Linked DNA regions of Rattus norvegicus. The protein of the gene in region 3 purifies or fractionates together with the protein of the main gene of each other region. This does not show direct contact. Links are inferred from orthologs where the notes say so. Each region holds a gene or a part of one and is shown on either strand. Other genes may lie near its edges.

Evidence for each region.
Region 1: the proteins of Shcbp1 (region 3) and Racgap1 purify together in Homo sapiens (affinity purification with mass spectrometry; 8 studies listed by BioGRID and IntAct, counting the BioPlex papers as one, with this or other methods). This does not show direct contact. The link is inferred for Rattus norvegicus from reciprocal best matches to the Homo sapiens genes SHCBP1 and RACGAP1.
Region 2: the proteins of Shcbp1 (region 3) and Plk1 purify together in Homo sapiens (affinity purification with western blotting; 3 studies listed by BioGRID, with this or other methods). This does not show direct contact. The link is inferred for Rattus norvegicus from reciprocal best matches to the Homo sapiens genes SHCBP1 and PLK1.
Region 4: the proteins of Shcbp1 (region 3) and Kif23 purify together in Homo sapiens (affinity purification with western blotting; 9 studies listed by BioGRID and IntAct, with this or other methods). This does not show direct contact. The link is inferred for Rattus norvegicus from reciprocal best matches to the Homo sapiens genes SHCBP1 and KIF23.

The regions. Positions count from the first base shown.
Region 1 is NC_086025.1:132,656,895-132,661,043, reverse strand, and holds the start of Racgap1 (rac GTPase-activating protein 1), read left to right. Parts: upstream 1-1,305; 5' UTR 1,306-1,482; intron 1,483-4,149.
Region 2 is NC_086019.1:186,150,620-186,154,186, forward strand, and holds part of Plk1 (serine/threonine-protein kinase PLK1), read left to right. Parts: intron 1-1,164; coding exon 1,165-1,384; intron 1,385-2,495; exon of another isoform or gene 2,496-3,567. UniProt on the Homo sapiens protein: Serine/threonine-protein kinase that performs several important functions throughout M phase of the cell cycle, including the regulation of centrosome maturation and spindle assembly, the removal of cohesins from chromosome arms, the inactivation of anaphase-promoting complex/cyclosome (APC/C) inhibitors, and the regulation of mitotic exit and cytokinesis.
Region 3 is NC_086034.1:91,394,318-91,397,884, forward strand, and holds part of Shcbp1 (SHC SH2 domain-binding protein 1), read left to right. Parts: intron 1-1,037; coding exon 1,038-1,169; intron 1,170-3,567. UniProt on the Homo sapiens protein: May play a role in signaling pathways governing cellular proliferation, cell growth and differentiation. May be a component of a novel signaling pathway downstream of Shc. Acts as a positive regulator of FGF signaling in neural progenitor cells.
Region 4 is NC_086026.1:71,310,534-71,314,100, reverse strand, and holds part of Kif23 (kinesin-like protein KIF23), read left to right. Parts: intron 1-163; coding exon 164-269; intron 270-472; coding exon 473-609; intron 610-896; coding exon 897-1,006; intron 1,007-2,215; coding exon 2,216-2,386; intron 2,387-3,567.

The DNA.
Region 1 (4,149 bases), on a different chromosome or scaffold from region 3:
GTCTGGGGCAGATGGGACTGCAAGAGTAAAGCTCTGGATGCTAGGTGTCACTTGGTGCACTTCAGGACCTGTAAACAAGATGGAGGGCAGTTAGGGAGCAGGGAAGCACAGGTTAGGGGAGCCATTAAGGACCCCATCTTTTTTTTAAGGAGGGGAGGTGAAGTGATTAATGGTTTTCAGCAAGGAAAAGCCACGGTTAGAGCTGCTTTTTTGTTTGTTTGTTTGTTTGTTTGGTCTGGAGCTAAAGTAGCAGAGGCTGGTCTTGATCTCTCAGCCTCCACTCCTTAAGTGCTGGCGATTATGGGTGTGTGCCACCACACCCACACAGAACTGCCTTTTAAAATACCAACTGTTGTAAAGAGCTCAAGGGCACAGCTCCCCTGGTGGTTTGAGAACTGAGGCAGACTAGGCTGGCCTTGAGTTTACAGACATCTGCCTGCCTCTGCTGTGCTGGGCTTAAAGGCATATGCCTGGCTCACCCTTTCTAGTAAGCTCTAGCCAGCCAGTATTTTGTCAAATTGCAGGTAGCCACACCTTCCAGTAATTAGTAAATTCAGGAAGGAAGGGACTCCAACACAGAGAAATAACAACAACAACAAAAGAACAGAAACATCGGGAGTACACTAATAGATTAAGATGAATGGTTGTATATTGAGTGCATTTCTGATGTTGGGCCCAGATCTTTAAAAGTTTCAAAGCCTCTGTACCAATACAATGCCAAATTTTAAGTGCCATTTATTAAATGGAATTATAACACTTCATTCTGCACTTCTATTTGTTTTCTTGAGCTGTCTCACCCATTCATAGCTACTGGAAAGCAGAGACCACATGATCTGTATTTTTTTCTGATCTCTAGCAGAGTGCTTGCTATGAAGTTGGCATACTTACTGTGCATCAAATAGAAGTCTGAATGGATGCGTGAGTGAATGGGGGGGATAATTATAGCTCAGTAAATATGGTTAAAATGATTGTTGCTCTGTCTCCTTCTGGAATTCTTCCTATTCTACAGTGAGACCCGAAACTATTCGGTTATTAGTTTCCAAGAGTCCTATTTGTCTGCCTGGGGAAACATGGAGGCAAGAATAATATGCAATTAGTCAACAGGTCATTAGAATAATTGCAAGAAAGGGAGCCGTAGCCGGAGCCTGGAGCGGGAGTCCTACACAGGCCATGAAACACCCACTACTCCCGCAAAAGTGTGCCCACAGTCAAAATGGCCGTCTTTCGGCGTCTCGCTAATGTAATGCGCACGCTCTTCCCGTTTTGCGCCCGCCCCCTGGCCCTAACACGTGCGTCGCCCAGAGCATGATCTCCTCTGTGATTGGCTGCTGCGCGATTTTGAACCGGATCCGGCGGCGCGGTTTTACACTGCCGTTAGTGAGGCGCGCAGCTGGTGGACAGCAGCCCTCCTGGGGCGCGGCGGCCGGAGAGTAAGCGCCGCGGGCCGAACAGGGTTGCGTGTGCGCGGGGCCGGGAGCCTCGGTAAGCGGGTCGAGGCCGCGAGCGGGCGGCGGAGGGAGGAGGGGGGCATCTGGAGGGGTCTGCTCTCGGCGTGGGGCTGCGCGTTAAGTCGGGAGCGTCCTTTTGAGGCGTGGCCCGACGGGTGCGGGTGTGGTTCCCTCAAGGTGGTCTTGGCGAACTCTAGTGCGGGACGTGGGAGTGGCCGGGAGCGAGCCCCTCTCACCCTTTTCCGAGGAGCAGTCTCTTCTGCGGGAGAAGTCAGGTGTTTGAGGAACCTGGCGGCCTACAGTGGAGAGCCTCTACCTTCTTGGCTGTCTCCCACAAGGCTAATTAGAACATCCCTATATGTGGAGAGCTAGAATGCTGCAAATGCGGAGCCTATCTTTTTCAGCCCTCCTTTTAATAATAATTTATCACCTATTTCTGCCACTGACCTAGCTACCGTTCTGCGATTAGCATGGGAAACCCTTTGGGGGTGTATTACTTTATATTAACAGCCTCCACCCACAGAAAAGCTACGACTGTAATCTGGCAAGCCTCGGAAACCTTCTTGAAGCGCCCACCAAAGTTTTTTTAAGCGTTCCTTGATTTATGACTGTTCTTAACTATAAAACTTAATGAGAATGATTATATCAGAACATGGTATTTATTTAGGTAACCTGGATTCATGGTCACGAGCCAGGGTCACTTATATTTGGCTCAGGAAGGAACACTCATTTCTCTTGGGATGAGAACTTTGTTTTTGTGCCTCAGAAAGAGAGGGAGGGAGAGAGAGGGAGAGACGGACTGCAGTACTCCCAATAGTGTATTGGAGGGTTATTGGAGTTACTGTTCTATCACACTCTGTGTGTGTGTGTGTGTGTGTGTGTGTGTGTGTGAGAGAGAGAGAGAGAGAGAGAGACAGACAGACAGACACACACACACACACACACACACACACACACACACACGGTGTCTTATGTAGCCCAGGTTGGTCTGAGACACACACACACACACACACACACACACACACACACACACACACACACACACGGTGTCTTATGTAGCCCAGGTTGGCCTCTTGTATCCAAGGATAACCCCGAACCTCTGATCCGCCTGTCCCTGGAGTGTTGGGATTACAGGACAATTTGGAGATGACACGTGTGATCCACCATTCTCAGTATTTGCTGTGTTGAGGACAGAAACCAGGGGCTTGTCACTCTAGGCAGGCATGGTGTCAGCTAAGGTATAGGCCAGCACAATGGTACATTTAAGTTCAAGTAAGATTCTTCTACTAACCCTTAAGAAACTGTTGACTGCACATCAGGCTGCTGGGGTGCAGTAAAGATGGGGACTCTTGTGCTGTTAGACCTCAGTGCTGTCTGCTGACCAGCTTAGCTTCTGGGTTGATGAAAGGTAGTTATTTTTTGGTTTGTCTTTTTTTTTTTCCCCCCTGGAACTCAGAGATCTGCCTGTCTCTATGTCTCCCAAGCTTTGGGATTAAAGATGTCTGCCACCATTCCCCTTGGTAAAAGGTAATTAATTCAGGCCAAAATTTCATCTGATAGCAGCAAGGAGGTGGCTGGTGCATTAGTGGGGTAAAGAGATGACTGAGATAGTTTGGCTGCAGATCTAACTCTCCACAAATACACAATAAATCCCTCCCACCCACCCAGCTGAGGACCCAGTGCTAGGCAAGCTCTCTACCACTGAGCTAAATCCCCAACCTGCCTTATAGAATTCTTAACATTGGCTTTTTTCCCCTGGCTTTTTTCAGTTGACAAAAATTTCTACTCAATATAATAGCCTTGCTATATTATTTTGGCTGGCTTCTGTGTGAGGGTGTCAGATCCCCTGGGGATGGAGCTACAGACAGTTGTGAGCTGCCATGCCAGTGCTGGGAATTGAACTCAAGTCCTCTGAAACAGCAGCCAGTGCCCTTAACCACTGAGTCATCTCTTCGGCCCCCCTCCCCGCCAATATAAGGTTTTTATACCGTGCTACATTAATCAAAAACCTGTCGTTGCAAGGACTCACCTTTGAACCTGAGGAAGAAAACTGGCCATGAGGAGGCTCACTCAGTGAGTGTCAGGTCACCTACCAAGCATTGGTAGTGGGCAGTGTTCTAGATACCAGTGGCTCTGCTAAGTCCTTGCTTTCCAGACAGTAAGTAAACATGTTAGGTGGAGACAAGCACTCTGGAGCAGAATAAACCAGGAGTTACAGAAAAGGCTGAATTTAAAAGTGTGGCTGGTGGAGACTTCATTGAGAAGTAAATTCCCAGGGGTCAGGGAGAAGGGGACGGAATGGGATGGGTGACTGCCCATGCTAGAGACTTCTGGCAGAGGGTAACTGAAAAACTGAATCCAAAGAGAACGAGTAGACCAATGGTAGCCCATCGACTCTGTGATGCTTGCTCAGTGCAAACAAGATGCTAACAATCAAAAACTGTGTGCCCCGAGCGAGAGTGTGGTGGGCACAGGGCTGGATGAGGGGGATGAGGTTTGTGTTTTGAGGCAGTGTTTTATGTCTGCCTAAGTTGAAGTCATTAGGAAAAGGCTTCAGTGACTGCTAAGGCAGACTCTGGGTAGGCCTCACAGGAGACAGCAGCAGTGTGCCGAACTTACCTGTCACATCCAGTTCTCCTTCACTCTGGCCTTGACTCTTATTGAGCTGGAACATTCTGTTTACTCTTTCTTGATTGGTTTG
Region 2 (3,567 bases), on a different chromosome or scaffold from region 3:
GGCCCACACTGTACGTTGAGTTTGCACACCAGAGTCTTCTGCTCTACCTTCCAAGAGCTGAGATTACAGGCATGTGCCTGCCACCAGGCTGGCTTTCTGGTGTACTAGCAAGCACTCTACCAGAGCCCCGTGCCCAGCCCATGTCTTTAGACTTCCTGAGGGGGATGTAAAGAGCAGGGGGAGAGGGGGCAAACACTCTTACACCTGGAACACGCACCATCTCCATCCAGCTGTGCTGCGCCTAACAAAGGAGTTGGTCTTACTCTCATGAACCAGGCTCTGCGTCTGCAAAGTGGGAGTTTCCCCAAGAGCTTCCCAATGACAGAGCAGCATCCCTTTTCACATCCAGTGTCATAAATCCACTTGCAGGGATAGCTCATTTCTGGGGACTGGTTCTCATAGGCACTTTAAAGTCAGCATCCTTGACTTGTACATAGAGAAGATGTCACAGAAGGTCAGCTCACTGCAGACAGCATGGACTGCTGTGGTATAATTGGTCCTGGCTTTCTTACTGAGGCAATGTGTATTCTCAGACAGGGCACTCCTGTTTCCTCATCTATAAGTGAGGCCTAATAGTGGAGATGTACACACCTGTAGTCCTAGCACTTGGAAGGCTGAGGCAGGAGGATTGCAAGTTCCAGATAGCCTTAGCTATATAGTGAGACCCTGTTTCCTTTCTAATTATATAGAGAGGGAAAGGGAGGAGAGAATCTTTTAGGTGTTTTTGTGAGGGCCAAATGGGTACTGTACAGGAGTGCATAAGCAAGAATTAATGCTGTGAGGGACAGGCCCGTGTTAGGTTTTTTCTCATTAAGTCATCCTGGAGGGGTTCCCCATTTTATAGGTCTGCCTTGTTAGGCTTCAGAAAGCCCAGGTTATTTGTTATAGGTGGAATCAAGGGGGTGGAACTAGGCAGGTCTTGGGACCTGGGTGCCCTCTTGTAGATAACTTAATGTCCTTTGAAAGGGCAAGGGGTGGGTATCCCAGGTTAATCTTGAGTGCCAAGTGGCAAGAAATGATCCTTCTTATCAATATTGCTAAGGCTGGGTGGAGGACTTGGTGGAACTCAGGGCCACTGAGCAGTGGTATGTTATACACAGGAGCAGCCGCATGCTGGCTAGGGTCCCTGTCTCCTCTCATTTCGGCTCTGCCTCTCCATTCCAGCACATCAACCCAGTGGCTGCCTCCCTCATCCAGAAAATGCTTCAGACAGACCCCACTGCCCGCCCCACCATTCACGAGTTGCTCAATGACGAGTTCTTCACTTCCGGCTACATCCCCGCCCGTCTGCCTATTACCTGCCTCACCATCCCACCAAGGTTTTCAATAGCTCCCAGCAGCCTAGACCCCAGCAACAGGAAGCCTCTCACAGTCCTTAATAAAGGTAAGATCAGTCCGGGCAGAAGAGAGCCCAGGTTTCCGGGGTACATTTCAGGGTGTGTGTGCCTTACTGCCTCATCCCTCCCCTGGGCCCTTCTGCCCTCCGCCCTTGGCAGGAAAAACCAACTGAATCAACCTATGTAAAGAGTACCTAAGATCTCCCTTGCACAGTTTGGAGAAAGCTGGAAGTTTTCTGGTGCATACATGGAGCATGCCGTGGTACCTATCCTCAGTTCTCATTCTCAGCATGCCCAACCCTGGTCACTCCAAGCACCCTTTGTTCTCTGAGTGTTTGTGCTTTGTCAAGAAAAGGTCTTTCTGTCACCCAGGCTGCTCTTGAAATCAGTCCTCCTGTCTAGGGCCCTGCTGACTACAGAATTGCAGGTTTGTATCAGCTCATCTCACTTTGGAAAAGTCGAGACAGCCAACTCCAGGAGTCTGCCATTTTACTCTTGTACTAAAGTATGCATCTTTCCTCAAAACTCCAGCATCCCTTGCCCCTGCTTGGATAGCTTTTGTGTCTAGAGCTCTTTAGAGATCAGAGTCTTTCTGATTCATATTCTAATATTCATCATTGTCCACACTTATAAAAAGGTAGAGGGACAAATGCTCTCCCAGTCTGCTTACATTCTGTTGATGCATCATCAGCCCTATGTGTTTCTTTAACTGCTTGAGAGCGAGCTTTCCTCGAGGAAAGCGTCTGCGCGCTGTGACAGACACCAGCATCAGCTTCAGGACTGAGCATTCATCTCACAGTGCTGTAAAGGTTCTTTTTTTCTTGTTCTTTTCTCTCTTTTTGTTTTGTTTCCTTTTTTTTTCCTTTTTGGAAACAAGGCTTCACTATATAACCCAGGCTGGCCTCCAACTCAGGAGATCCACCTGCCTCTGCCTTCCAAGTGCTAAGAGCAAAGGTGTGAGTGAGCCACCTTGCCTGGCAGCAGTGTTTGCTTTTCTGTTTTTTACTGTCCCTCCCTCCTCCTCTTTTTTTGAGACAGACTATCACCATGCTGACTCGGGTTTGAAATCCCCCTGCCTTACCCTCCACAGTGCTGGGCTTGGGACTGTGCCACTGTATTCATCATCATCATCATCATCATCATCATCATCATGTAGTCTTATTTTTTTGATTTATTTATTTATTTTATGTATGTGAGTACACTGTCAGACACACCAGAAGGGGGCATCAGATCCCATTACAGATGGTTGTGAGTCACCATGTGGGTGCTGGGAATTGAACTCAGGACCCCTGGAAGAGCAGTCAGGTTCTTAACTGCTGAGCCGTCTCTCCAGCCCATGTAGTCTTATTTCTCGTTAATATATTTTATTAAGAGCTATGGTCTTTGAGAGGTAGCTTGTAGGCTTTGTTCTCTGTGGAGTTAGTTATAAAACTAGTGTTTAGTATAAAATTCTCAGTGCATCTGTTTCGGTTAGATTTCCATTTTTAGGCAAGAGGCTAGGGTGGCTTAGTTTTGTTTTTGGTGCTTTGAGACAGGTGCTGGGATTTCAAATGAGTGCTTCATACCTGACTCAATTACTTGGTTTATTTTGCAGTAATGCTAGGGTTATACAAAAGTTTAAAAGACAAAATAAAGCTAAATTCCTGTGTACCCTCCACCCAGCTTCTTCCACAGTCAGCATCTCTCTTTAAGCATAGCAGAATTACCAAAACTGAAGTGTTAGCTACAAGATAATCCTGTCAACAAAGCCCAGGCCCCACATCGATCAACCAGATTTCCCATTACATCACCAGAATACAAGTCAGTACCTCACGGGCCAGTTAGTGACCTTGGCTCCCTAGTTTCCTCCAGCCTGTGACAGTCTCTGAGTTTTTCCTTTTGTCTTGTGACCTTGATTGACACTTTTGGCACTGATGAGTTGATTTCCATTGGATTTGATGCTTCCTCAGGATTGCACTGAGGTTCTGCATTCTGAGCAAGAATGCTGTGAAGGGTTTGCTCTTTTCAGTGTCAGGGAGACAAGGCTGTCTCTGCTGCAGACACTGTTGCCTTGGTAACTAATAAGAATCTTGCAGGAAGGTGTTTGAAACTGTAGGAGTTCATCTAATTGTTGCCCACCGGTTTTAGTGGTAGCCATTACTGTAATTTTTATTTTTTTCCCTTTTTGAGACAGCGTTTCATGTGGCCCAAGCTGCTTGGATCTCACAGTAGTCAAGGATGACTTTGAACT
Region 3 (3,567 bases):
ACCTCTGCAAAGGCTAAAACAATGTTTAGAAGGCAGTTAGACAGTGCATTCATTTTTGTTGACAAAGGTAGTGTGCTTTTCCCTTGGGACCAGGAGACCAGGTTTAGAGTACCATACCTGGTAATCTATCCTGAGGCACAGACTGCATGTCCACTTACAAAGCAGTTAGTTATTCCCAAAATAGCCAAGCTACCATTGTATCAGTGAGCATATCGTGTCTGGCCGGTGTGTTTTATCGCGCGTGATCAACAGGTAGGTGAGACTGTTGACAAGGTTCTTCTAGTGCCCTGGATAGCACCTTCTGGGACTGTGAACCTTAGCAAGCATAGAGGGCATTTTCTACACAGTTCCATATCTCTGTGTCCTACAACTAAGATATGTTACTCTCACGTTGTAGTGGCTGACTAAGAGCAATGACAACAGCCTGTGTTCTTTTGTTGACTTCTGAAACCTTCTGCCCACAAGTCACAGGACAGTATCCCATATCTGGTATTGGACTCTTATTTAAAAGCTTCTTTTTTCTTATTTAAATTCATAAAATAATAATAATTATTATTATTTATAAAGCACTAGGTTTCCGTATAGCTTTTTTATGTTTTCTCAGTTTTCTTTCCCTTTCCCTATCTTCCCAGTACCCCTATTTCCCTGCCCAAACCCTTTCACGCCTCATCCCCTACTTTCCAGTCCCTGTGTTTGACTCCCTCCTCCTTCAGTGCTTCTTCTGCTCGTGGAATCTTTCTTGCCTCTGTAAAGAATTTGAATTTTAAAAAAATTAAATTTTGAGGCTATTTATTCAAGAAAGAAATTTGGGGTTCCCTTTGTGGCCCTCGGATATTCCACTCAGTGTAATAATTTCTAGTTCTATCCATTTTCCTGCAAATTTACTCTCTTCCTTTCTTAGGTTGTATGGAATTACATTGTGAATACGTGCTTCATTTTCACTGTTCACTCATCAGTTGTTATTTTGGATCTTCTTAATCTTTTGCATGTAGATGTTTTCCTTCATTCTTCCTAAGTCGTTTCACGCTCTTCCATAGGATACGGTCCCCCAGATGATATCATCATTGAAAAGAGGGGCAAAGGAGATACTTTTGTGGATTGCACGGGTATGGATGTTAAAATTTCAGGCGTAAAATTTATTCAGCATGATTCTGTAGAAGGAATCTTAAGTAAGTATCCAATGTTTGGTGTATTTTTTGTTTTGAGCTTTGAGAGAAAAGTTGACTGGGCATGGAAGTTAAAATTTAATGAAATTGAATATATGGAAGGCAAATTAATAACTTGCATAGCATGAATGACAAGGAAACATCAAAGTAAAAAATAACTTGTTATTCTTGGAAACTTATTAATTTCTTTTCTGTTAGTGGGGATTTTATTTTATTTTTGCTGTTGTTGTTGCTTGTTGTTTGCTTTTGTTCTTGTTTTTGAGATAAAGTCTCACTCTGAACTGGTTGTCCTGGAATTCACAGCAAATGGTGATCCTACCTCAGGCTCCTGAGCTCTGGATTTATAGGCATATTTCCCCATATGTTACACAAGTGTAACAGTGGTAAAGTGGTAAAATCATTTAGAGGTTGGACCTGGTAGTAGGTAATTAGATTACAGGAGCTCTATTCTCAGGAGTGGATTAATATAAGTCTCATAGGAGCAGATGAGTTTCCAGGGAGTACGTTCTTATAAGAATGAGCACGATACCTCTGTAATCTTGCTTTCTTGCTATACGTGTGCCCCTTCTGCACGCAATTCCTTTTTCTTATGCCTCTGCACATGGTAACGTATCTGGGGAGATCTTATCAGATACCATGCTGTTCTGAGTTTACAGATACTAGAATCATGTATAAGGTATTTTGTTACAGACATACATAAAGGGACCAAGACATTGCTCTAGTATTAGTTTTATAGGATGTGTAATCCACCTCTTCTCAAGGTCCTTTTTCTTTTTCCAAGAAAAGCTGTTCATTAATATGTGTGTATCAATAATAATATACAAATATTATATACCTTTTTCTGTAATGAATATATACTTTCACATATCTTAGTTTAAGTCTTCTCTCTTTTTTGTATTTGTGAATGTGGTTCCCTACTTATCATCCTCAGGGTGAGAGGGGTTAGGAAACAAACTTGGGTCAGTCACCATTTTCTATATTGTCAGAGGCAGGATCTCTTTGTTGTTAACTGCAGTTGATATCAGGTGCTTCTCCTGTGTCCAGCTCGCATCTCACTACAGAGTCACTGGAATTGCATGTGTGAACTACTATGCCTGACTTTACAGGGTTCTGGGCATTTAAACTCATCTCCTCATGTTTTGGCAAATGCTTTACCCACTGTCAGTCACTCATTACTAAGTAGCCTTTGGTTTTTAGAAAATATTTAAAAGTGTATACTACTGTATATTGTATGAGTTTGTAACTTGTTTAACAAAATTTAAATGATACCTCTAAAAAATATCCTATTGTCTAATTATGATCTATACTATTACAGTTTGTATAAACTTTCTACTTTTCCATTTAATTTTGAAAATATCAGCCATTTTAACTTTAATAAACTTTCTAGTTCTCCCTTCTGTGAAAATCCAGTCATTTTATCCTTTATAAACTTTACTTAGTAAAAATCATCCATCTTTTATTTACTGATTTTCTTTCTTAATAACATGAGGACCATATGTGCTTGATTATTGAGAGTGAGTACTTAGAAAGCAAATCTTTATCATCAATATGCAAAGGACAGTAAAAAGTAATCTAAATCAGTAAAAATGGCATGCAGATTTTGGGTTTACTCATCTCAGCAGGAAGCCTGTCAGCACTAGGAAAAGGTGTGGCCTAATTGTTATATTTTGAATTCCCAAGAGATCATAGAATTTAAGCTTTAAGTTTTTATTACTTCACATAGCATGGCATGTTTCTGCCCACATGTTGCTTTCAAAATTTATGGTGGATTTTGTTTTTAAGGTTGCTGTCAGCCTACTGGCTGCTTTCACCAAATTACTACCACATCACACACATAAACATTATGTGGTCAGAGACATGAAATAGTATATAATTTAAGTTTAAAGCCATGCATCCACTTATGCTATAAAGGCTGATTATATAAGTTTCAAGCAAGTTGATTATACTGTTCTCTTAAAGGCTGGTGTGGTTTGAATGAGAATGGCCCCAAATTGGCCCATGTCTTTGAGTGCTTGCTTCCCAGTCGGTAGACTCTAGGGAAGGATTGGGAGGTGTGGTCTTGTTGGAGAGGGTGTGGTTTCAGAGGTGGCCCTTACAGATTTCAAACTTGCACACCAGGCTGAGTCTCACTCTTTGCCTGCTGGCTGATGATCAGGATGTAAAGTTCTCTGGTACTTTTCTAGCACTAAGTCTCTCTATCTGACACCATGCTCTTCACTGGGATGATAATGAACTGACCCTCTAAAACTGTTAGTCCCACACATACATTAAATGTTTTCCCTTGTAAGAGTTGTCCTGGTCATGACGTCTCTTCATAGCAGTAGACTAGTGACCCAACAGCTGAAGACACAACAGGATAGGTTAAGTGCCCAATCGTAAATGATCTCAACATATTTTAGCT
Region 4 (3,567 bases), on a different chromosome or scaffold from region 3:
ATATTGTGACTACGAAAGGCTCCAAGCTTAAAGACCATTCTTGGTGATTTTTTTTAACATGTCTGGGTTTGAAATGCTCATAACAGAAACATTCCAAGTGTAGAACAGATACAGCTCTAATCTAATGGAATTCCATGTGGTGATGTTTTTCTTTTCTCCACAGACTCAGTACTCATTTAAGCGGGTATTTGGCACGCACACCACCCAGAAGGAGCTTTTTGATGTTGTGGCTAGTCCCTTGGTAGATGACCTCATTCATGGCAAGAATGGTATGACTCTTGGAGTTTAATTGAATTCCCTGTTTGATCTTGTGATAAAACTTTTTAATATTCATATATTTGGTTTGACATTGAATTCAGATTTAACTCATCAGAGTGCCCTTTTTTGGGTTTGTTAATTTTAGCGTTTTAAATAAACGACATGTTATGTGGGGCTTTAAGACTATAACTCATTGTTACTTGCCATACTTTAGGTCTTTTATTTACATATGGTGTGACGGGAAGTGGAAAAACCTACACAATGACAGGGTCTCCAGGGTCCGGAGGCCTGCTTCCTCGTTGTTTGAATATGATCTTTAACAGCATAGGGTCATTTCAAGCAAAACGTTTCGTAAGTACAATTCCTTTGGGTTGTGACTGTTACTATAGACACAGGGCTGAGGCATCTATGGATGCAGTGATGCTGAGGAAAGACAAAGACATTAGAGCTACTTTGACTCTTACATACTTGATGTAGGCGTGGTGGCTGCATGCCTGTGGTATAAACAAGAGGATCAGGAGCTGCAGGGCCCCTGAGTCTTGTGCCCTTTCCCCAGGTTTAAATGTTTAAATGCTTCCTATTTTCAAATGGTTCTGTTCCTTAAAGTTATTTTCAAGTCTATTTTGCCTCTCTCTTAGGTGTTTAAGTCTAATGATAGGAACAGTATGGAAATACAGTGTGAAGTCGATGCCTTGTTAGAACGGCAGAAAAGAGAAGCCATGCCCATTCCAAAGACCCCCTCTAGCAAGTGAGTGACTTCATTGTGACCTAGGGTGGGTGGAATTCTGTCCTACAGTTTCTATAGGTCCGGAGAAGGTAAGTACGAATTAGAAAAGTTGGTCTTACAGCTGACTTTTGTGAGGTCAGGGTTGAGGCATGTTCTTGACTGCTCAGATATTTTATCTCATTTCAAGAGAATACGTCCAAGTAGGGGGAAGGTGAGTTCTTGTGTTGTGAATCTTAAGGGCTTAGAGTGTCCTTGACTCACCTTAAATTCAAATAAAGTTGCTTATGAATTCAGCCCTACGTGACAGAACATCATTAGAGTTTGCTTTTGCTCTGATATATGTGATATCATTGTATTGCTGTGATAAAATACCTTAAACAAAGCAGCTTGGGGAGGAAAGGATTTATTTTATCTTCCTGTTACATTTCCAAGTAACAGTCCATCACTGAGAGAAGTCAGGGCAGGAACTCAAGGCAGGAGCTGATGCAGATGCCATGGAGGGGTGCTGTTTTCTGGTTTACTCCCATGGCTTGCTTAGCTTACTTTCCGTTTTTTTTTTTTTTTTTAAGATTTATTCATTTATTATATATAAGTACATTGTAGCTGTCTTCAGATACACCAGAAGAGGCCATTAGATCCCATTTACAGATGGTTGTGAGCCACCATGTGGTTGCTGGGAATTGAACTCATGACCTCTGGAAGAGCAGTCGGGTGCTCTTAACCGCTGAGCCATCTCTCCAGCCCCTTAGCTTACTTTCTTTCTTTCTTTCTTTCTTTTTTTTTTTTTTAATTTTATTTATTTATATATAAGTACACTGTCTCTGTCTTCTGACACACACCAGAAGAGGGTATCAGATCTCATTACAGATGGTTGTGAGCCACCATGTAGTTGCTGGGAATTGAACTCAGGACCTCTGGAACAGCAGTCAGCGCTCTTAACCATTGAGCCATCTCTCCAGCCCCTTAGCTTACTTTCTTATACAACCCAGGAGCACCAGCCCAGGGTTGGTACCACACACATCAGTCATTAATCAAGAAAAGGCTAGATAGACTTGCCTGGTGGCCAGTTTTATAGAGGTAAGTATTTTCTCCAGTTGAAAGCCCCCTTTCCCAAAGACTCCAGTTTGTGTCAAGTTGACAAAGAACTATCCCACACAGCCATTATCTACTTTTTATCTTAACTCATAGTGGGTACATTTTGAAGTTAGGGGATCTGTTTTCTCATTGTAGGCGACAAGCAGATCCAGAGTTTGCAGATATGATAAATGTACAAGAATTCTGCAAAGCAGAAGAAGTTGATGAAGACAGTGTCTATGGAGTGTTTGTCTCTTACATTGAAATCTATAATAATTACCTATATGATCTATTGGAAGAAGTGCAGTTTGATCCCATAAAGCCCAAGTAAGTACAAGAGTCTTCAGTTAACCTAGAAAGCTACCCCAAGCAAGTCATGGCTTCTTGTATAGATGGGGATGATGCTTGCATTTATTTTCAGGGTGCACAGAAATAATAATCATATAGTCATGTTCAATGAATACTTTTCTTCCTTTTTCTTGTTTTGAGACAGTTTCTCTGTGTATCTCTGGCTGTCCTGGAACTCTGCCTCAAGAAATATCTGGGTTAAGTTATAGAGAGAAATGAAGAGAGTACAGTCCTGCGATCTGCCTGCCTTGCCCTCTGAGTGATAGGATTAAAGGCGTGTGCATCACTGCCTGGCAGTACTTAGATTGTAGCTGTATTAGGAAACCAGTGGGTTAAGGCAGAGTAACTTGAAGATCTTGGAAATTGCTTTTGAAAATTTAGCCTTTATAGGTAATTTTGGGGCACCTATCAGCACCCTGACAGTGCTGGAAGTTTGCAGCCTTTTTGGCTATCTGTGTCTCGGTGATCTCTGTGGAATGGATACTTGTCTGAACAAGTAATTCTTTGCTCATCCATTGCGAATCAGTGTAAAGCCATACTTTACTATCATTCTGCCAGAGGTAAATACTCCTTAGGGGCTATGGGTCTTGCCTTGCAGAATCAGAAGACCAGTTACCATGTAGCTTTACATTAGTGTGCCTCTCTTTGTTCCAGAGCTGACACACAAGTCTTGTGTCAAATGACCAGTGCACGTGGGTGGTTTTATTCTTACTGCAGCCAGTTAGAACATAATAATATGAAGCCCTTTGTCTTACATATAGCATTTGTGTATATGTGTAAATGGACATTACTGTGGAAACCGCTGGATTTAGAAAACCCTTAAGCTGAAAACAGACTCATGTCCACGACTGTCAGGGTGCTCACTATTAGAAAAATCACATGGACTCTGGTCGAGGCTATAATTGATAAAAGAATTTCTGTGGCTCCTACTGAGTTGCATTTCAAAGGATATTCAGAATCCCTTAGTTACTAATGGTTAGTAAAATAAGGATAAAGTTGCTAGGTGAGTTAAATCTGAAGGTCTTTTACTTTTGCTTTACTCAATCATTCTTCAGATGAGAACTGTTTGTTTTTGAGGCAGTGTTGCTGGGTTGCACAGATTGGCCTCCAAGTACATGGGCTCCTCCTCCTTGAGCCTCTCAGAGCTGGGATAGCAGTGT